5 linked regions of the Callithrix jacchus genome follow. The protein of the gene in region 4 purifies or fractionates together with the protein of the main gene of each other region. This does not show direct contact. Links are inferred from orthologs where the notes say so. Each region holds a gene or a part of one and is shown on either strand. Other genes may lie near its edges.

Evidence for each region.
Region 1: the proteins of IQGAP1 (region 4) and DVL2 purify together in Homo sapiens (affinity purification with western blotting; 3 studies listed by BioGRID, with this or other methods). This does not show direct contact. The link is inferred for Callithrix jacchus from reciprocal best matches to the Homo sapiens genes IQGAP1 and DVL2.
Region 2: the proteins of IQGAP1 (region 4) and protein diaphanous homolog 1 purify together in Homo sapiens (affinity purification with western blotting; 3 studies listed by BioGRID and IntAct, with this or other methods). This does not show direct contact. The link is inferred for Callithrix jacchus from reciprocal best matches to the Homo sapiens genes IQGAP1 and DIAPH1.
Region 3: the proteins of IQGAP1 (region 4) and HECTD1 purify together in Homo sapiens (affinity purification with mass spectrometry; 3 studies listed by BioGRID, with this or other methods). This does not show direct contact. The link is inferred for Callithrix jacchus from reciprocal best matches to the Homo sapiens genes IQGAP1 and HECTD1.
Region 5: the proteins of IQGAP1 (region 4) and STAU1 purify together in Homo sapiens (affinity purification with mass spectrometry; 4 studies listed by BioGRID and IntAct, with this or other methods). This does not show direct contact. The link is inferred for Callithrix jacchus from reciprocal best matches to the Homo sapiens genes IQGAP1 and STAU1.

Annotation. Positions count from the first base shown.
Region 1 is NC_133506.1:73,724,585-73,728,889, forward strand, and holds the start of DVL2 (segment polarity protein dishevelled homolog DVL-2), read right to left. Parts: upstream 2,881-4,305; 5' UTR 2,617-2,880; coding exon 2,423-2,616; intron 2,391-2,422; exon of another isoform or gene 2,298-2,390; coding exon of another isoform or gene 2,290-2,297; intron 1-2,289. Other genes in the region: PHF23 (PHD finger protein 23), read right to left, coding at 3,977-4,191, 4,280-4,305.
Region 2 is NC_133503.1:40,004,468-40,007,992, forward strand, and holds part of protein diaphanous homolog 1, read right to left. Parts: intron 3,423-3,525; coding exon 3,358-3,422; intron 2,588-3,357; coding exon 2,408-2,587; intron 1,685-2,407; coding exon 794-1,684; intron 1-793. UniProt on the Homo sapiens protein: Actin nucleation and elongation factor required for the assembly of F-actin structures, such as actin cables and stress fibers. Binds to the barbed end of the actin filament and slows down actin polymerization and depolymerization.
Region 3 is NC_133509.1:65,522,255-65,525,928, reverse strand, and holds part of HECTD1 (E3 ubiquitin-protein ligase HECTD1), read left to right. Parts: intron 1-1,923; coding exon 1,924-2,760; intron 2,761-3,440; coding exon 3,441-3,662; intron 3,663-3,674. UniProt on the Homo sapiens protein: E3 ubiquitin-protein ligase which accepts ubiquitin from an E2 ubiquitin-conjugating enzyme in the form of a thioester and then directly transfers the ubiquitin to targeted substrates.
Region 4 is NC_133507.1:19,924,132-19,927,805, reverse strand, and holds part of IQGAP1 (ras GTPase-activating-like protein IQGAP1), read left to right. Parts: intron 1-927; coding exon 928-1,083; intron 1,084-1,332; coding exon 1,333-1,496; intron 1,497-1,923; coding exon 1,924-2,148; intron 2,149-3,674. UniProt on the Homo sapiens protein: Plays a crucial role in regulating the dynamics and assembly of the actin cytoskeleton.
Region 5 is NC_133506.1:44,266,255-44,270,581, reverse strand, and holds the start of STAU1 (double-stranded RNA-binding protein Staufen homolog 1), read left to right. Parts: upstream 1-1,437; 5' UTR 1,438-1,681; intron 1,682-4,327. UniProt on the Homo sapiens protein: Binds double-stranded RNA (regardless of the sequence) and tubulin.

The sequences.
Region 1 (4,305 bases), on a different chromosome or scaffold from region 4:
TGGGAGGCCGAGGCAGGTGAATCACGAGGTCAAGAGATTGAGACCATCCTGGTCAACAAGCTGAAATCCCATCTCTACTAAAAATACAAAAATTAACTGGGCATGGTGGTACGTGCCTGCAGTCCCAGCTACTCGGGAGGCTGAGGCAGGAGAATTGCTTCAACCCAGAGGGCGGAGGTTGCGGTGAGCCGAGATCGTGCCATTGCACTCCAGTCTGGGTAACAACAGCAAAACTCCATCTCAAAAAAATATATATATATAAATACAAAAATTAGCTGGGTATGCTGACGCACACCTGTAATCACAGATACTTGAGAGGCTGAGGCAGAAGAATTGCTGGAAGCTGGGAGGCAGGGGTTGCAGTGAGCTGAGATCACTCTACTGCACTCAAGCCTGCGAGACGGAGCGAAACTCCATCACAAAAAAACCCATTAGATCAAGCAATGGAAGCTCCTGATTAGATTGAAAGTTCCCAAGGAGAGGGCAAGCTAAGCTTCCCATTCCCCAGTGCCTCATCTGTCACAAAATTCTGCACGAAGCAATCTGCTCAGCCTGACAGATCCCAAGGCCCAGCCTTGCGGTCATCTCTCCAATAGGTTCACCCAGTGGACTAGACTTAATGCTTCTTCTTGACCACAACATCACATCATGAACACTCATTCTGGTCAACACCATGTCCTAGCCACACAGCACAAAGTGTCACTTCAGCATTAACAAATACCGTTGGCTAAATGAATCAACATATAAATCATCAGACTCTGCCCTAGTTGTTCCTCTCTTTCCACACACACCCTTGCCCCCAAATTAAGACACCTTGTCTGATTAACCCTTTGGCCTAATATGGTTATGGGAGCCAGGATATATGCCAACTTAATCCACTTGCTGTCAATGTGCCAACACAGCCCAGTCACTACCAATCTGTTTCAGCATAATGCAGGATTCTTCCCAATATAACATAATCTCAGCATAGCTCAGTCCACTCTAAGACAAGTTATTCCGTATCACCATAACCTACTTTATAGTCAGCCTCAGTACTAATAATGACGATTACCATTCACCAAGAATTTACCGTTTGCCACACACCTGATCTAAGCATTTCATTCTGTGTTTTTTCTCCATGTCACAGATGAGATCAAGACAAAATTTAAATAAATTGTCCAAGGGTATATTGCGGACAACCAGAAGAACCTTTTAAAACCCACACTAACCCAACTTAATCCAGCCTGCCTTCAAAAAAGCAGAGGGTGAGGACCAGGGGGCTCAGTCCCTAAGATTATAAACACAAAAGGGCTTTCTCTGCATTATTTACAAGCCCATCTAGTCCAAGATATCCCTGAATGTCCCAAATTACGTTAGGAGCCCAATCTATTCTAGCACAGCCTACAATGTCCCCACAAGCAGCTGTCTGCACCAATATAGACTAGAATACCCCAATACAGCTGCCTGTACTAGCATGGGCCCCGACAGCCTTGTCTGCCCTTATACAGAGTGCTCCGATAAAACCACGTCTTGCCCCAAGAGAAACCAGGATTAATCAATACAACTCAGTAGAGTCCATAATAACCCAAGCTTCTTTTTTTTTCTTTCTTTCTTTTTTTTGAGACAGAGTCTCCCTCTGTCGCCCAGGCTGGAGTGTAGTGGCACGATCTTGGCTCACTGCAACCTCTGCCTCCTGGGTTCAAGTGATTCTCCTGTCTCGGCCTCCCGAGTTGCTTGGACTACAGGCGTGTGCCACCACATCGGACTAATTTTTTGTATTTTTAGCAGAGAGGGAGTTTCACCGTGTTAGCCAGGATGCTCTCGATCTCTTGACCTCGCGTTCCGCCCGCCCTGGCCTCCCAAAGTGCTGGGATTACAGGCGTGAGCCACCGCGCCCAACCATGGATAAGTTTCTCCGCAATATTCTATTCCAGGGCAACCTAGAACATCCCAATAGAGCACTCTTTGCATCAGTATTGACTAGAATATCCCACCAAAAATCCCGTCTGCTCTAAGTATACGCCAGAATGTCCCAAGTTGATCCAAAATGGCCTTATCTACATCAAAAGATTCCACAATAGCACTAAATAACCTGTGGACAACATGCAGGACTCCTGAGAACGTATTAAACGACCAGACAATGGATCAATTTACTCAGTACAGTCTAGAATACTCCAAAATAAACCAGTATGTCCCCACCTATTCCAGTAGAACGTAATCTTCTCTAATCTGGTTTAGGATATCCTAGTCTGTCCGTGTGCCTCGATCTATCCAAGCATAACCTTGTCCATCCTGGCATAGTCAACCCACCTCAGCATAGTACAATCTGCTCCACCATAGGCCAGAAATTCCCAGTGTGGCCCAAAGTAGATGTGTACCTCTCCACGTCGCCCAATCCACTCTAGCAAAGCCCCCGTCGGTCCTATGCAGGCCTTGCGCTCACCCAAAATCCTGATCCATAGACTTGAAAAAGTACTTGGCGCCCGCGGGCCGCTGCAGAACGCTCTTGAAATCGCCGAGGGTGATGCGCTCGGCAGGGACAGGGATCTTCACCAGGTAGGGAGTCTCTTCTTCATCCAGGTGGTAAATCACCTTCGTCTCCCCAACCCCACCGCCCCCAGTGCTGCTGCCCGCCATGGTCTCGCCCGCGCGCTCCCGGGCTCTGCCGCCCACCCAACCGGGCAAATGGCCCCTGCCGCGCCTGCGCACACACACAAACGGACGCACGAGCGCGGACAGGACCGACCTAGTACAGGAGAAAAGCAAAGGAAAGAAAGCGGGGGTCGGCGAGGGTGGCGGCGGGGGGCGGGCCGCTGGGTGCGACTCAAAGCCACGGTCTCAGCGGTAGCCCGGCGCCATCGCCGCCGACGTTGCGAGCACCTCCAGGTTCCCGCCCACCTCTCCTCATGTCACGTGACCCAAGCCAGCCCACTCTGCGTTGCTCAGCCGCCCCCTCACGTGACCCCCCCATCAGTCACGTGACCGCCGGACTCCTCCTAGCGTCCCCGCCACGTGATCGCTGCCTTCAGCAACGGTCTCCCAGCCCCCAAATGGGTACCCTGGGCGAGGTCCTGCGTGTACCGTGGCTAAGCTGGCCTCTGCCCTCAGGAAGCAGATAATCGGCTTCCACCGTGCTTTACCCGACCCAGGCGGGAACGCGAAGCAACTCTGACCCGCCGGAGTGTGCGTTGCAGGGAGTGAAGATGGGGATTGTGGGGGTTCCTAGACTATAGTAGGGAGGGACAAATACAATGAAAGCTCTAAGGTGGCTTACTCGAGTATCTTGGGGTGGGAAAGGCCCAGTGCCGTGCCATGTTCAGATTGGACTTTGAGAGGTGGTTTTCAGCCCCACCTCCGGCTAGTCTTCAGCCAGCTCTTCCAAAGCCTCCCTCCCAAGCAGGACAGTCAGTGAGGGCTATAAACACAGAAGAGCCCACTCTGCTTTATTTACAACACGCAGGCTGTCTGTACAAACAGCGGCCAATATTATTAAAAACAAAAGAGGTGAATGAGAATCGTCACCTTTCTGCTTTCCTTCGTCACTTGGCCAGGCTCTAGTACTCCACCTTTGAGCTGCCATGCCCAAGAGGGGAAGTCCAAAATTAAAAATACAACCGGTGTAGAAGAAAATAAATGGGGAGTGAAATAAAGAAAAGATGAGGGAGGGAAGTGCTAATATTTACACTAGAGTTTTATAGACAACTGTCCCATTCCATCCCGACCCAGAAAATGATGGTGGCAGGTCCAAGAGACAAGAGATAGTGTCTAGAGACACAGACAGCCTCCCACCCCCAACTGGGTCCAATTTCAAATCCACAGAGTGGGGAGGAAGGAGAGGGTAGGAAAGTGAGACATTCATTTTCAAACAAGTCTCCTTTGGGAATTCCTGCCTTGAAGTTCGGACAGTATCCAAGCTCCAGGGGATAGGCTGAGGTCCCTGAGGCTCAGTTCCCAAATCGAGTTGTCATTTGGAAGTTCCAGCTTAGAGTTGGCGCCGTCAGGGCTCTCCAGATTTGGGAGGCCCCCCTAACCGCCGGGCCTCTGGCCTCAGTTCCTTGCATTTCTGGCAATAAAAGAAGTCAGGGACATTGGTCTTCTTAATCTTAGCACAGGAGAGGTGGATCCACGTCCCACACAGGCTGCACTCAATCATGGGCCGCCCTGCAAAGGGCTTTCGGCAGTAACATGTGATTAGATCCCATGAGTCATCACCTGGGGAAAAAAAGGTTTGGTATTCTGCCAGAGCTGTTTTTGGATTCACAACACCCTCAAACCCATCGCCCCAGCCCAAACCTCTCACCTGATTCTACCATGATGTCCTCGTCC
Region 2 (3,525 bases), on a different chromosome or scaffold from region 4:
CTAACTAACTCAGAATCACAGGCATCTCAAACACATCATGGGAACAATACTGTGCATGCAAATATGGGCTGAGTAATTTATATACTATGAAACTGGTGTAGAGTGGATTCATAAATCCATGACTTTTGGATCAGCACAATTATCAGTAGCTTGCAGACTGGTGAATGACTATTATCAAACTGTGTGTTACCATGGTATTGACAGCCTCAGAGAAAAGGCAGAAAACATGAAGTATAAGTTTAGTTAAGATTAAATTCAGAGTACAGGGTTCACAGAACTCTCCATGGTGATGTATGGCATATAGAAGATGCCTAATATCTGCTGAATAAACATAAGCATGAGTGAAACTTGAAGACAGAAAGATGTAAGCCATAAGGGAGGTGCAGCCCATCCATGCACAAAATACAAAGTAGAAAATTGGTAGTAAAATGGTTTCTTAAGATCAACTGGTGAGGCCAGACACAGCAGCTCATGCCTTTAATCCCAGTACTTTAGGAGGCTGAGGTGGGTGGCTCACAAGGTCAGGAGATTGAGACCATCCTGGCTAACATGGTTAAGCCCCATCTCTACTAAAAATAAAATAAATAAGTTATCTGGGTGTGGTAGCAAGCGCCTGTAGTACCAGCTACTCAGGAGGCTAAGGCAGGAGAATCACTTGAACCTGGGAGGCAGAGGCTGCAGTGAGCCGAGATCATGCCACTGTACTCCAATCTAGGCAACAAGAATGAGACTTCGTCTCAAAAATTAAAAAAAAAAAAAAAAGATCTACTGGTGAAGAAATAGAGATTCTTACCTTGGACCAGTTTGGCCTCCGGAGCTGCACCTCTGGCTTATAAAGCTTTTTGGGGGTTAATCCAAATGGCAGAACTGGGGCTGCAGGAACTCCAAATCCAAATGGGGGAGGTGGAGGCATACCCATGCCAGGTGGAGGTGGAGGAATACCAGGGCCTCCAGGAAAAGGAGGAGGTGGAGGGATTCCAGGACCACCAGGAAGAGGGGGAGGAGGAGGTGGTATTCCTACTCCCCCAGGCAAGGGAGGAGGTGGTGGGGGGATTCCAGCACCACCAGGCAAAGGAGGCGGCGGTGGGGGGATTCCAGCACCACCAAGCAAAGGAGGAGGTGGAGGGATGCTAGCACCCCCAGGCAAAGGAGGGGGTGGAGGGATGCTAGCACCCCCAGGCAAAGGAGGGGGTGGTGGGGGGATTCCAGCACCACCAAGCAAAGGAGGAGGTGGAGGGATGCTAGCATCCCCAGGCAAAGGAGGAGGTGGAGGGATGCTAGCACCCCCAGGCAAAGGAGGAGGTGGAGGGATGCTAGCACCCCCAGGCAAAGGAGGAGGTGGAGGGATGCTAGCACCCCCAGGCAAAGGAGGGGGTGGAGGGATGCTAGCACCCCCAGGAAAAGAAGAGGGTGGAGAGATAGCAGTAACTACAGGTAAAGAAGGGGGTGAGGGGATGCAAACACCCCCAGGCAAAGGAGGTGGTGGTGGAGGAGGAGGAGGAACTATGGTACTACCCCCAGGAGCAGGTGGTGGTGGAATAATAGTGCCAGAGTCACCAGGTAAAGGAGGGGCAGGGGGAACAGTAGCACTACTAGGAACAGAAGGAGCTATAGCAACAGCTGCCACAGAGAGGGAAGCCATTTCTTTCTTGGCATCTTCCAGTTCCTTTGTCAGCTTGGCAACCTACAAGTATAACATCAATGTGAGTACTTCTCACCCCACTTCAGGGACTACTGGGGCTAGAAGGAATCTAACAAATGACTTAATCCAAACTTCTCATTTTACAAATGGAGAAACTGAGGAGTCAGAGAGATCACATGATCACCTAAAGTCACACTGCTTAGCAGCAGAGACAAAACTAGAATTCAGGTCTTCATATTCTTAGTTCAGAATGCTTTGTATTAAAAAGACAATTTTAACATTTATGTTAAACTCTCCCTTGATTAGAAAATGTAAAGTCAAATAAATCGAATGCTTTAGTTATATAACTAATATATGTGCTACACAGATGATTATATGACCACCTAAGTAATCAAGTTAACAGATATCAAAGATCATTCAAGTATTTACTACTGCACAGGGAGTGTGTAAGGATAAATCTGTGCAGAGATGACTAAACTAACAGAAAATCAGCTAATTTGTAACAGTTTAGTTTTTATTCCTAATTTATTAGAAGATTTATCACCTTAATTTTTAATGTTTATCTGTATTTTCCAGATTTTCTGTCTTATGTATTACCCCCAACACAAACCAAAAACCAGTATATTATTTTTAAAATATGCACCATGTAACTAGATTGCCTATTAGTAGCTGATCCCTCCCTAGGAGTGAGATGATTGACTCCTATTCTAAGCCATGTGCATCTTGAGGTTACAGGTCACTCTGCCTTCCCTGCTCAGGCATTACCTCTCCTGTGAGCTGGGACACCTCTGCTTCTAGATCCTGTTTCTCTGTGGCAATCTGTTGCTTTTCAGAATCCAGTGCATCCTTTTCTCCCTGAAGATTTTGAAGCTTCTGCTCAAAGTCACTTTCCATCTTTTTCATTTCCACCTGTAGCTCATGTCGGGCTGTTAACTCTGAGTCCAGCTAGAGAAAAAAAACAAATCAGGCTCCCAGTAAGCTCTCCATCTCAGTAAGAAGAACGAGTACTATTACTCATAATTCCCCTCACCTCCTCTTTTGCCTGGGGGTGCTGGAATCTGCCCCCAACCCCCATCTCCTGTTTTGGGCCAAGAATTGATCTGTAGAGCTCACAAATTCAGGCTATGCTTGGGGAAAAAAAGCACCATGATTCTAACCTTAAAATCAAGATTAAAGGAGAAGGGAATCAGTTCATTTCCATAGATTCCCTATTTTTACAGTAAAAAGAAACAAAACAAAGATTTTAAAGGTATTTAACTAGGTCAGCCATGGTAGTACAATCCCAATATTCTCTAGGATAAAAAAACCTATTAACCACAGTAAGAGTCCTTAACAATTGAAGAGAAAAAGAAAACTCAAAGACATTTTCCACTTCTACTGTTCAAAGGACCCCAGTTCCTAATGTTCTAGGGATAAGAGGCCTAAAATGCCAAGCAAATCTGAGAGTCCCATCACTATTATATGAGTATCATCTGTCTTTCTTTTCCTGCCTAATAGCCCAAGAACTGTAAACCCACCAGGAAAGCTCCTGATAATGACATCCATATCACTTTCTCCAATGACTAACCTATACTGGAATGGTTTCCCCTGGGAATTACACATCCGATGCTAAATGCTTCCAAAATACCACAGAAAAAAAGTGTCTCACAGGTCAGGAAAATAATAATCCTCAAAGCAAGATATACTCAAACACATGTTTTTGGTCTCATATGCACCTTCTTTTCCAGCTCTGCAGCTTTGGCTTCAGATTTCTCCACCTTTGTCTTATCAATCATTTGATCTGAAAAGAAGAGTCAGTAAGTAAAGCTCCCAATTCTCTTAGTCTATTTCTTTTATACCCAAGCCTTTTCAAAGAACAGTCTTTTATCTTTTTGATTATTTTT
Region 3 (3,674 bases), on a different chromosome or scaffold from region 4:
GTGAGGTATGGCACCTCCGTATGAGGGAGTGCTAACTTGTAAACCTGAATATTTTGAGTGATGATGATGATTATTAGCTGCCACAGATAGGAAAAAGAAATCTAGCATAGAATCTTAATTTCAGAGTTTAGCATTCAAGAAAGGCTTATTTTTGCTGATCTGACGAATGTAGAAATTTAGTTTTGGCTAACCAACATGGTGGTTCCCATCAAGTTATGCCTTTCAGTCTCTATGTCAAAGAGGATTCTTAGCTTTCAGATGCTTAACCCAATCATTTCTAATGATGGCTAGGCATTACTGACTCTTTTTTTTTCTTCTTCTTTTTTTTAATCTATCTTTTGGGTATAGAAGGAGTTGAGAGAGTATTTTTTTGGGCCAATTAATACAATACAAAAGTCATTTTTATTTGAGATTGGGATATGTTTTTGAACCTTTTCATTTTCTTACACATTTCTGTGTAGCAGAAGAGATAGTTAAATGTTGGTTCTTCAGAGATTTTTTTCAGCCTACAAAAAAAAAAAATAGAGGCAATTGAAAAATCTCATCTAAACTCCTTATATAGATTTGGGGCAGTTAAATTTTCTTTCAAAGAACACCTATGCAGATAATCTCCACAGGTAATTCAATATTATTTCCCTCTGAGCGCCATCATAAACATACATGAACTTGGTGTATGCGTGGGTGGGCATCTGGGTGTGTGGATGGGTGCGTATGTGAGCTTGGGCCCCTTTTATGTGTGAGTAAAAACTTTATAAAGGCTTGTTATACTTTAATAAAGATGCTTTTTTATATCTTATGTTTTTCCCTGAAATAGTTGGCTTATAACACTAAAATAAGCTTGTAAAATTTCTATTAATTTCCTTTTAATAGACAATTTTTTTTTGCTTTTGGAAGTTAATTACCTTTTTATAAAAGAATAACTATTATTTTTTAACTACAAGTAAATATATAGATTGAATATCATTATGCTCATTAGTTCTGTACATGTTATTAGCTTTAGCAGACAATTTCTAATAAAAGGACTCAGTATGATCTTTAAATTTTCTTTAGAATTTTCTGTGCTTATTCAAATTTATTGAACTTAATTATTTAATACAAGAGAACCAAGGAACCACTGAACTTTGAGAACACAACCGAAATGCTAACTTTAGTGTTTTATTTGAGCTAGTGACCTAAAATTTCTGTAGTAATATGTGAATATTTTAAGAGGTTAGCCCAAATTAATGGTAAGAAATTAACGGTAAGCTGGTATGTTTTTCTAGTAGAAAGAACATTTAACCACACATAATTATCTTTAGCAATTTAAAAACTTTTACTTAGATTCTGTTTACTTGCTGAAGTGGCAGTATTTTACCATGTATATCAGTCTTAAAATTCTTAAACAGTTCTTCCATTTAAGAAGTAACCAAGCCAGGTGCGGTAACTCACATCTGAAATCTCAGTTACTCAAGAGGCTGAGATGGGAGGATGATTTAAGCCCAGGAGTTCAAGACTAGCAAGGGCAACATAGCAAGACCTCATCTCTCAAAATTGAATAATTTTTAAAATGAAAAATAACCCAGTAGATTTAAACATAACCCTTGCATTGCTTTTAAATGTCATAGACTGAATAGTTCAGAAATAAGGGAAATAAAAGGAAGAACTTTAAACATTTCCCAGAAACCTTGTATACAGTACATATTTCTTGTCCTTAACATATTTTTTATCATGAGAGTTAAATAATATAGACTTTCAGATAGCTAGTCATAGTCAAATAATTGAATCCAAACATTTGCATATATTTTAGTTGGCGGACCTTGATTGACTATAGAAATTCACAAAAGGACAGCACTGATTAAAAACTGATCCCATATTGTGGAGCTACTGTCTGACACGCTCCTATCTGCTTTCTGCTGGGTCTCACAAACTCCTGTCCCTTTCCAGGCTGGATTGATGTCACCTGGGATGCTGGTGGCTCAAACTCTTACCGTATGGGCGCAGAAGGAAAATTTGACCTCAAGCTTGCACCAGGGTACGACCCTGATACAGTGGCATCACCCAAACCTGTTTCATCCACTGTTTCAGGCACAACGCAATCATGGAGCAGCTTGGTGAAAAACAACTGTCCAGACAAGACATCTGCTGCTGCAGGCTCCTCAAGTAGAAAAGGAAGCAGCAGTTCTGTGTGTAGCGTGGCCAGTAGCAGCGACATCAGCTTGGGTTCGACCAAAACGGAACGGAGATCAGAAATTGTAATGGAACACAGTATAGTTTCAGGAGCTGATGTCCATGAACCAATTGTTGTTCTTTCATCTGCTGAAAACGTCCCTCAAACAGAAGTAGGGTCATCTTCCAGTGCAAGCACCAGCACCTTAACAGCGGAAACGGGAAGTGAAAATGCTGAAAGGAAGTTAGGCCCTGATAGTTCTGTTCGTACTCCTGGGGAGTCTAGTGCAATATCCATGGGAATTGTCAGTGTTAGTTCTCCTGATGTTAGTTCAGTATCTGAATTAACTAATAAAGAAGCAGCTTCACAACGACCTCTTAGCTCTTCAGCAAGTAACAGACTGTCAGTGAGTTCTTTGTTGGCTGCTGGGGCCCCTATGAGCTCTAGTGCAAGTGTACCTAACCTGTCCTCAAGAGAAACATCTAGCTTGGAGAGTTTTGTAAGGAGAGTGGCAAACATAGCACGGACTAATGCCACGAACAACATGAATCTAAGCCGAAGCAGCAGTGATAACAACACTAATACTTTGGGGAGGAATGTGATGAGCACAGCAAGTAAGTGAGCTTTTCCTTCTGGAACCCAATGCTTTTTCCACTTGGAGGGATGCAAAGTAGGGTCTCTTGTTCTGGCTGCAGTTTTTAACTAGATCATTAACCATATTAGATAAAGCTACATCAAATTTAGCACTTCAGGAATATGAAGTTAAGTTCTCTAGAATCATAATATTTTTAAGAATTCAGATTAGGTATGATAAAGAGCCTCTTATTCTAGAAGGATAAAACAATACTTCTGATTTTCACTCTTTTATGATAAATCAAGCAAAGTTAATGAGGAAATAGATGACTATTAAATATTATCATAGTGCAGTGAAACTAAAGAATCATGAGTATAGCTTTTATTTAGACTCTACATTGATCATAGCTTCTTAAATTCAAATTCCGATCTAAGCTGCTAACAGGTCAAAGTAATTCCCTTGGAAAAGACATAGGGAATTATTTCATTGCTTGTTTCATTTCTTTAAAAATGTTAGGCATAATATTTAAAAATATAATAGTGCTATAAAAATAATTTTTAGTTGGATTTCAGTTGGGTTCCCAAAGTTGTTGCTTTTCAGGAACCATTTTATTATTAGTGTGTTTTATGATCTCACTCTTTAAAAAATATAAAACTTCGTTTTTCTAAGGTTTCTAAAATCTCACCTATTTTTACTGATTTGCTTCATTTTTATCTTTAGCTTCTCCTCTTATGGGTGCTCAGAGTTTCCCTAATTTGACCACACCTGGTACTACATCAACAGTGACTATGTCAACATCCAGTGTTACTAGTAGCAGCAATGTAGCTACAGCAACCACAGTTTTATCAGTTGGTCAATCATTAAGTAATACTTTAACCACCAGCCTCACATCAACCTCCAGTGAGAGTGACACAGGTCAGGAAGCAGAATATTCCTTATATGGTAAGTTATAAT
Region 4 (3,674 bases):
CAGAGCGAAACTCTGTCTCCAAAAAAAGTTAGATAAGACATAAAATAACTTAATAGACAAAATTTTGATAGAGAAAAGAAGATCAGTGTCTTCCCCTAATTTCACTTACCCCACTCGTTTTGTATCTCATGTTCTTACTTCATATCAGAGGATAAGACTCTTTCCCTATGATAAATAGTCATACATCTTTTATTTTTTTGAGACAGAGTCTCCTTCTGTACCCCAGGCTGGAGTGCAGTGGCATGATCATGGCTCACTGCAACCTCAACCTCCTGGGTTTGAGTGATTGTCTCACTTCAGCCTCTCAAGTAGCTCGGACGACCAGTGCATGCCACCACACCTGGCTAATTATTTTATTTTTGTAAGAGATGGGATCCCTCTGTGTTGTCCAGGCTGGTCTCGAACTCTTGGGCTCAAGTGATCCTCCTGTCTCAGCCTCTCAAAGTGCTGGGATTACAGGTGTGAGCTACTGCACCAGGCTGTAAATATTATTTTTAACAGTAGCATAATAGATTGTTAGAAGATATACTATGATTTGCCCCTTTTCTCTTCCTGGTATTTGACATTTAGGCTGTTTACCAAGTGTTTATTATAAATAACATCACAATTGATATTTCAATATATATGTAGCTTTTATTGTATTTAAGACTTAATTTTGTAATAAGTCTTTTTGTAATAGATTGCTAGAAGTTGTTTTCCCAATTCAGTGTACATTCTTATGGCTCAGGTTCTTTGTCAGAACATAGGAATGGATTTGATTGGTGTACTGAAAACAGGATAAAATGTAGTGATTTTAAAATCTTTAGTGGGAACCTGCCAGTGCAGTCGACTGTCATGTGAGCTTGCACATGCTATAAGACCTTTCCACATTGCCCAGAGGTTCATCTTTGAAAGCTTTCTCATGTGTGTATTGGTTTTTGTTTGTAGGATGTGGTCTCCCACAGTAAAAAACTTACCAAAAAAAATAAGGAACAATTGTCTGATATGATGATGATAAATAAACAGAAGGGAGGTCTCAAGGCTTTGAGCAAGGAGAAGAGAGAGAAGTTGGAAGCTTACCAGCACCTGTTTTATTTATTGCAAGTAAGTGGCTCCTGGAATCAGTGTTATAAAAATTTAGCAAATTTACTTTTCCACAAGAAAACCTTACCCATCAATCTCTCTGGAAATACTTTTGACTTCCACTGAGGGGTAAGTGACGGGCATTGTAATATTTTAATTTATTAATTTTTTTTCTCATGTATCTTCTAGTTCTTCAATTTTAAAGAATTAAATATATCTTGCCAGCTTTCATATTACCTATAAATGACTTATCCCTTGGTTTTATTTCAGACCAATCCCACCTATCTGGCCAAGCTAATTTTTCAGATGCCCCAGAACAAGTCTACCAAGTTCATGGACTCTGTGATCTTCACACTCTACAACTATGCATCCAACCAGCGAGAGGAGTACCTGCTTCTGCGGCTCTTTAAGACAGCGCTCCAGGAGGAAATCAAGTATGAACAGATTTCCTCAGGGCACAGACCCTTCCTACTATCACTGGGGACCCCAGTTTGAAATTCATGCCTTTCAGACCTTTGTTGTTCTCAATTAATTTATGAAAAATACTTACTCTAAAGAAGCATCTAATTTTTTAATAATACAAAATCTTGCTGCTTCTAGGGAGGGGATAAATTAATTTTAGGAACATTCTGTATTAAGGTATAATTTCAAAAAGTGATCTCAACAGAAAGATTTTGCATTTTTCTCTAGTAGGGGACCTAACTGACCATGATTCAGTGTACAGCCACAAGAACGTTCTGTGAGTGCTGGGCAATGATTCGAGAGAAACTCTGTTTCTATGAGATAGGATCTTTAAGCAGGAAGGATCTTTTCATTGACGGATTCTGTGACAAGTTTAAATTTTTATCTGATGTTTTATAGGTCAAAGGTAGATCAGATTCAAGAGATTGTGACAGGAAATCCTACAGTTATTAAAATGGTTGTAAGTTTCAACCGTGGTGCCCGTGGCCAGAATGCCCTGAGACAGATCTTGGCCCCAGTCGTGAAGGAAATTATGGATGACAAATCTCTCAACATCAAAACTGACCCTGTGGATATTTACAAATCTTGGGTTAATCAGATGGAGTCTCAGACAGGAGAGGCAAGGTATGATAACCATAACACTTTTCTTTATGTTGTTACTTTCTTTCCCTCTTTTTTCCACCCTCTTTATTTATAAACTAATACTAGTTCAAATAGTTTTTCTTTTTTTTAATTTTCTTTTGAGATGGAGTTTCACTCTTGTCACTCAGGCTGAAATGCTATGACAGGACCTCGGCTCACTGCAGCGCCACCTCCTGGGTTCAAGCAGTTCTCATGCTTTAGCCTCCCGAGTAGATGGGTTACAGGCATGTGACCACATCTGTCTAATTTTTGTATTTTTATTAGAAACAGGGTTTTGCCATGTTGACCAGGCTGGTCTCGAACTCCTGACCTCAAGTGATTCGTCTGACTCAGCCTCCCAAAGTGCTGGGATTACAGGCGTGAGCCACCGGGCCCAGCCTCAGATAGTTTTTCTTTAGAAAACTGTGCTTTATGAGTTGTTGACCTTGTAATAAATTCACGTATTTAACAAATGTTTGAGTACTTACTGTGTGCCAGGCATTGTGTTAGAGATGTATACAGTAATGCAATAATGAGTGAAACAGACATGCCCCCTGCCCTCTCTTCTTAGGTCATTGGGTGGAAGAGACACCAACCAGGTACATAAAAATAAAAGTATAATTAAACATTGAGGAAAGTTTCATGAAGTTTTATATAGGGTTCTGTAGTGGAGACTATAAGAGGGAGCTAACATAGGTTGGGTGATTAGGGAAAGCTTGTCCCAGAAGATAAAATTTCATTTAGCTGAGGCCTAAAGGCTAAGATGAAGCCAGACTTACTAAGAGCTAGGTGCAGAGTGTTCATGTCTGAACACTCTGAGGTGGGGGGGTTAGGACCTAAAAGGCATAACTAGGGATGCAATTGAATGAGAAGGCTCATACAGATTGGGTGAGATCACTGTGTTTTATTAAAGGAACAAGAAAATGGTGTGGGGTGAGCTGCCCTGAAATACTGAGAGTTGGGCTAACTGAATTAACATATTACAGGAGATAACTGAGTCAGGGCTGTAGCATAAACCACCACCATTAATTTATCAAAAGCAAAAGTATGCCAATCAAATATGGGTAATGCTGGGAAAAGGGAGTTCAGAATGCCAAAACATTTCTGGTTTTATTCATCTTGGGCAAGGACCTAGAGGGATGGGAAATGGAGATGTGAGCAACACGGTCTGTTGTGGATTTTTCTTGTTGCAGAGTAGGGTTGGATCATGCATGAAGCTCTCTGGGCATAGGAGGAGTAGCAGCTCTCCACACCATTGCTATTCAAAGTGTGGTTTACAGACCAGTAATGGAAAATCATCTGTGCACAATGTTTAGTTTAACTGATAGTTTTTTTAATAGCAAGATTTTCTCAATGAAAGAAGCAGTGTATTAATTCGCATTCTGACTCATTCTCTTTGTCTTTGATTGGATTGTAGACTGGCACTGGTCTACACTTTGAATAACACTATTCTACATAATTCTGCTTTCCATGTTCCTGGATGCCAGGCAATTTGCTGACTCACTGAAAGGGCTTATCTCGCCAGGAGT
Region 5 (4,327 bases), on a different chromosome or scaffold from region 4:
GTGGTGAAACCCTTTATAAAAAATAAATAAATAAGAAAGAAAGAAAGAAAAAAAAAGATCACTTTCAGCAGAGGGCTGGACAATATCTGAATGTTCCTAAGTACTGTCTTGGATGGGCACTAAAGGAACGGTGAAAGTCCTTTGACTATTTTCGGTGTTCTGAAACTCAGTCTCATTGCACTTCAGAAGAAGCAATGTAAGGAGGTCTTGTCTAGAGAAAGGTGTCCTCCCAGCCTTGGATAAGGCTCCAAAGCCTCGTTTGGAGGGGCTTCTTCAGACACAGCCGCTCATATTCTGAATTTATATTCCTTTGGCAAGAGAGATTGAGCAATATTTAAACTGAGAGATATCTGAGAGAGAGATAATTATTTTTAAATAGCAGGGAAGCAGTTCGAGTGAGCAGGAGAGAGGAGCCCTGTGCACTTGCAGTTCTTCACTCATTCTCCGTTTCCTGGACCTCTCACAACGCGAGCATAATTTTCGCTGAGTGTGATTCCAGAAGTTCAATATTCTCTACTGGCCACCCTGTTCTCCCTCCAACCTCCCATATAACATGGCTGCTACAAACCACGTAGTTTATCTAGATGTGGATAAAAGAAATAGCAATCTGGCACTTCTTTTATCTCACTATAAATTTTATTTTTTCTTTGAGACAGAGTCTCGCTCTGTCACCCAGGCCAGAGTGCAGCGGCGCGATCTTGGCTCACCGAAACCTCCGACTCCCTGCTTCGAGCGATTCTCCTGCCTCAGCCTCTCCAGTAGCTGACATATCTGGCGCCCGCCACCACGTCCGGCTAATTTTTGTATTTTTAGTAGAGACGGGGTTTCACCATGTTGGCCATGATGGTCTCAATTTCCAGACCTCGTGATCCACCCGCCTCGGCCTCCCAAAGTGCTGGGATTACAAGCGTGAGTCACCGCGCCCGGCCAAATTTTCTAAATTTATTTATTGTGTGTTTTACTCACACAAGAATGTAAGCTCCACGAGGGCAGGGATTTTTGTCTGTTCACCACTACATCCCTAGCTCTTGGCGGAATGCCTTGCATACAGCAAGCATTTAATGAACATTTACAGATGAAGGAAGAAACATTGCGGGAAGGAGAGAAACGAGGGCCAGAGGCAGGAGAAGAGGAAGAACCGAGAGAAGGAAGGAAGAAGGAAGTGGAGGAAAAGAAGGCAGGCTGGTTCTCCCAGCCCCGCTACTAGTCCAGCAGGCAGCGCGAAACTCCCACCGGAACTACAATTCCCGGCAGGCCCCGGGGCCCCAGGGCTGGCCGCAGCGGCTCAAACCGGACATGGCTTCACTCCCGCTGGGCTACCGGCGTGCCTTGCGAGCGCAGGTTGTGCCGCAGCGCCCGCCGGAACTTGTGGTCCTGGCCGCGGGTGGGGGTGGCGGCGGGCGGGGGCCGGGGGCGGGCGCCGGCCCCTCCCCCGTCACTTCCTGCCGGGCTGCGGGCGCCGGAGCGGCTCTTCAGCGTTTGCGCTGGCGGCTGCCGTGTCTTACTCGGCTCCCCCTTCCTTTGACCCCCCCCCCAGCCCGGCGGCGCCCGCCTTCTCCGTGGCCACTCCGCCTCTTCCCTCCCTTCGTCCCGTCCTCCTCTCCTTTTTTCCTTCCCTTCCCCTCCTCGCCGCCGCCGCCCAGGACCGCCGGCCGGGGGACGAGCTCGGGGCAGCAGCCAGGTGAGGCGGCCCGGCCCGGCCGGGCCTGGCGGGGCCCGCGCTGGCGCCGCGGCGGTGGGGAGTGGGCGGCGGGTGGGGCCTAGGCCTTGGCGGGCCTGCGCGCCCCGCCGCCTTCCCCCGGGCCTCTCTCCAGCCCGCGGGGCCTTCCCGGAGGAGGCGGGTCCTCCTGCGCCCCCCGCCTCGGGGCGCCCTGAGGCCTGGCCCCCGGGCGCCCCCATCCGCTTCAGCCCTCGCCGGGGTCACAAACAGGTGCCGTGGCCGCCTTTCCTCGTCCCGCATGGCGCGCGCGGGGATGCCGAAGTTATTCCCGGGGCTGAAGCTGGGGGTGGGGGGTCCCCGTTTTAGGTCCCCGAGAACTGGAGCCTCTCAGTCTCGCCGGCCCAGGTCTGCAGCTTAGTGGTTAAGAGCACCGCCCAGGTGTCCAAAACGGGTGCTAATCCCGGCTCTGCCCCATTAGGCAAGACACTTAAACTCTTTGTGTCCTGGTTGGAAAAGGGGCTGCTGATACAGTCCCTGCCTCTTATGGCTGTTAGGGTTCAGTGAAATGGGGCGTGTAAAGCGCTTATCAGAGTGCCAGACCCACAGCGTGTCCCAATAAACCGTCTGCATAATTTATTAGCGTGATATGAAGGATAATTTAATGGGTAGAGTGGATAGAAGTTGACCTACCTATCCGTTTGGGTTTCTTAGAGGCTCAGTGTTGCGCGTGCCCGTGTCCAGAGCCAGGGCATTGTTTTGAGTTGTTAACATCTGAAAGAGGCATACGCTTAATTGGAACACTGTAGTTGGCAGTCTGTAAACGATAGATGCTATTTCTTTCCATCTCCTCCGCTTAGCCAACTGCAGGATATTCACCAGCTCCCGCAGGATGAGCAACCTGTCCATTTCCCCCCGCCCGGCCATCATCCAGCTTCTTGTCATTCCATTTCTGGGAAAGTTGCTGGCAGAAGCTTCCCTTGTGTTAAGCAGACCTATCTGGAGCACTTGCAGTGTGTCAGGCTTTGAAGGGGGGGTGTACGAAAATGGAAAAATTTGTCTGTCTTTTCTTGCTCTACATCTCTTAAGTTTTTTCACCGAAGCTTTGCTTTTATTCCCCCCCTCCCTGATGGCTGACTTTCCTTTTAAGCCCTGGCCCCGCCTCCTTGTTGCAGTATTGCTTGTGTGGGAAGTTTTCTTGGGTTCCGCGAAGATACGTACTTCGGTCTGTCCTGCCACTGTTCTTTGGCCGTGTGGACCTTTTTAAGGGGTCACACTTCTCTTCTGCTTGTAGCTTTCATTGTTCAGAACGTGGTGGAAACAGTTAAATCAGGTTCCTGGTTGATTTTGGCCTTTCAGGAATCCGTGCTTACCAAATGTAAATTACGTTGCTACTTGTTGAGGTAAAAACTAAAAATATAGTTGGAGTGTAGAGGGAGCAGTTTCGGTTATCCTGGTGACAGGTGGGATTTTTAGAACAGCAACTTTATTAAAGGATACTGGGTTTTAAAAACTTTTGTACTTAGTTTTATAGGTGTACTCAAAGGAAATGCAACTTATGAATGTTAAATTTTATACGAGTAAGGAGTGTGTGTTTACCTGAGTGATCCTCCTGTATCGTTGTAGGCATTGAATTTCCTTAGTGAACTGAAAATATTTTGATTTATAACCATCTTTTAATAACACACATGTGGCAAAGTGCCCTCCTTGTTTTTGACAAATTTTCCTAGAATTTTCTTACAGCCTTTTTTTTTTTTGGAGATGGAGTCTCACTCTTGTCTCCCAGGCTGGAGTGCAGTCGGCTCACTGCAACTTCTGCCTCCCAAGTTCAAACGATTCTCCTGCCTCAGCCTCCTGAGTAGCTGGGATTACAGGTGCCTGCCATCGCTCCTGGCCTGAATTGCTCTTTTAAAACATGTGGGTCAGGCGCGGTTGCTTTCCTGTAATCCCAGCACTTTGGGAGGCCGAGGCGGGTGGATCACGAGGTCAAGAGATTGAGACCATCCTGGTCAACATGGTGAAACCCCGTCTCTACTAAAAATACAAAAAAAAAAATTAGCTGGGCACGGTGGCGTGTGCCTGTAATCCCAGCTACTCAGGAGGCTGAGGCAGGAGAATTGCCTGAACCCAGGAAGCGGAGGTTGCGGTGAGCCGAGATCGCGCCGTTGCACTCCAGCCTGGGTAACAAGAGTGAAACTCCGTCTCAAAAAAAAAAAAAAAAGTAAGCAGGCAGGGCACAGTGGCTCACGCCTGTAATCCCAGCACTTTGGGAGGTGGAGGCGGGTGGATCACGAGGTCAGGAGATCGAGACCATCCTAGCCAACATGGTGAAACTTCATCTCTACTAAAAATACAAAAAGTAGCCGGGTGTGGTGGCGGGTGCCTGTAATCCCAGCTACTCGGCAGGCTGAGGCAGGAGAATCGCTTGAACCTGGGAGGTGGAGGTTGCAGTGAGCAGAGATAGCGCCATTGCTCTCCAGCCTGGGCTGTCGCAAACTCCGTCTCAAAACAAAACACCACCACGTAACCAAACAACTAGTACACAAGCCGTATAAAGCATGTCTTCTATTGCTGTATCACAATGGCATATTGCAATAGGGAAATGGTATTTCGAATACCATTTTTTAAAAGTTTTTTTATTCTGGAAAATATGCAAAAATTGAATAGTAT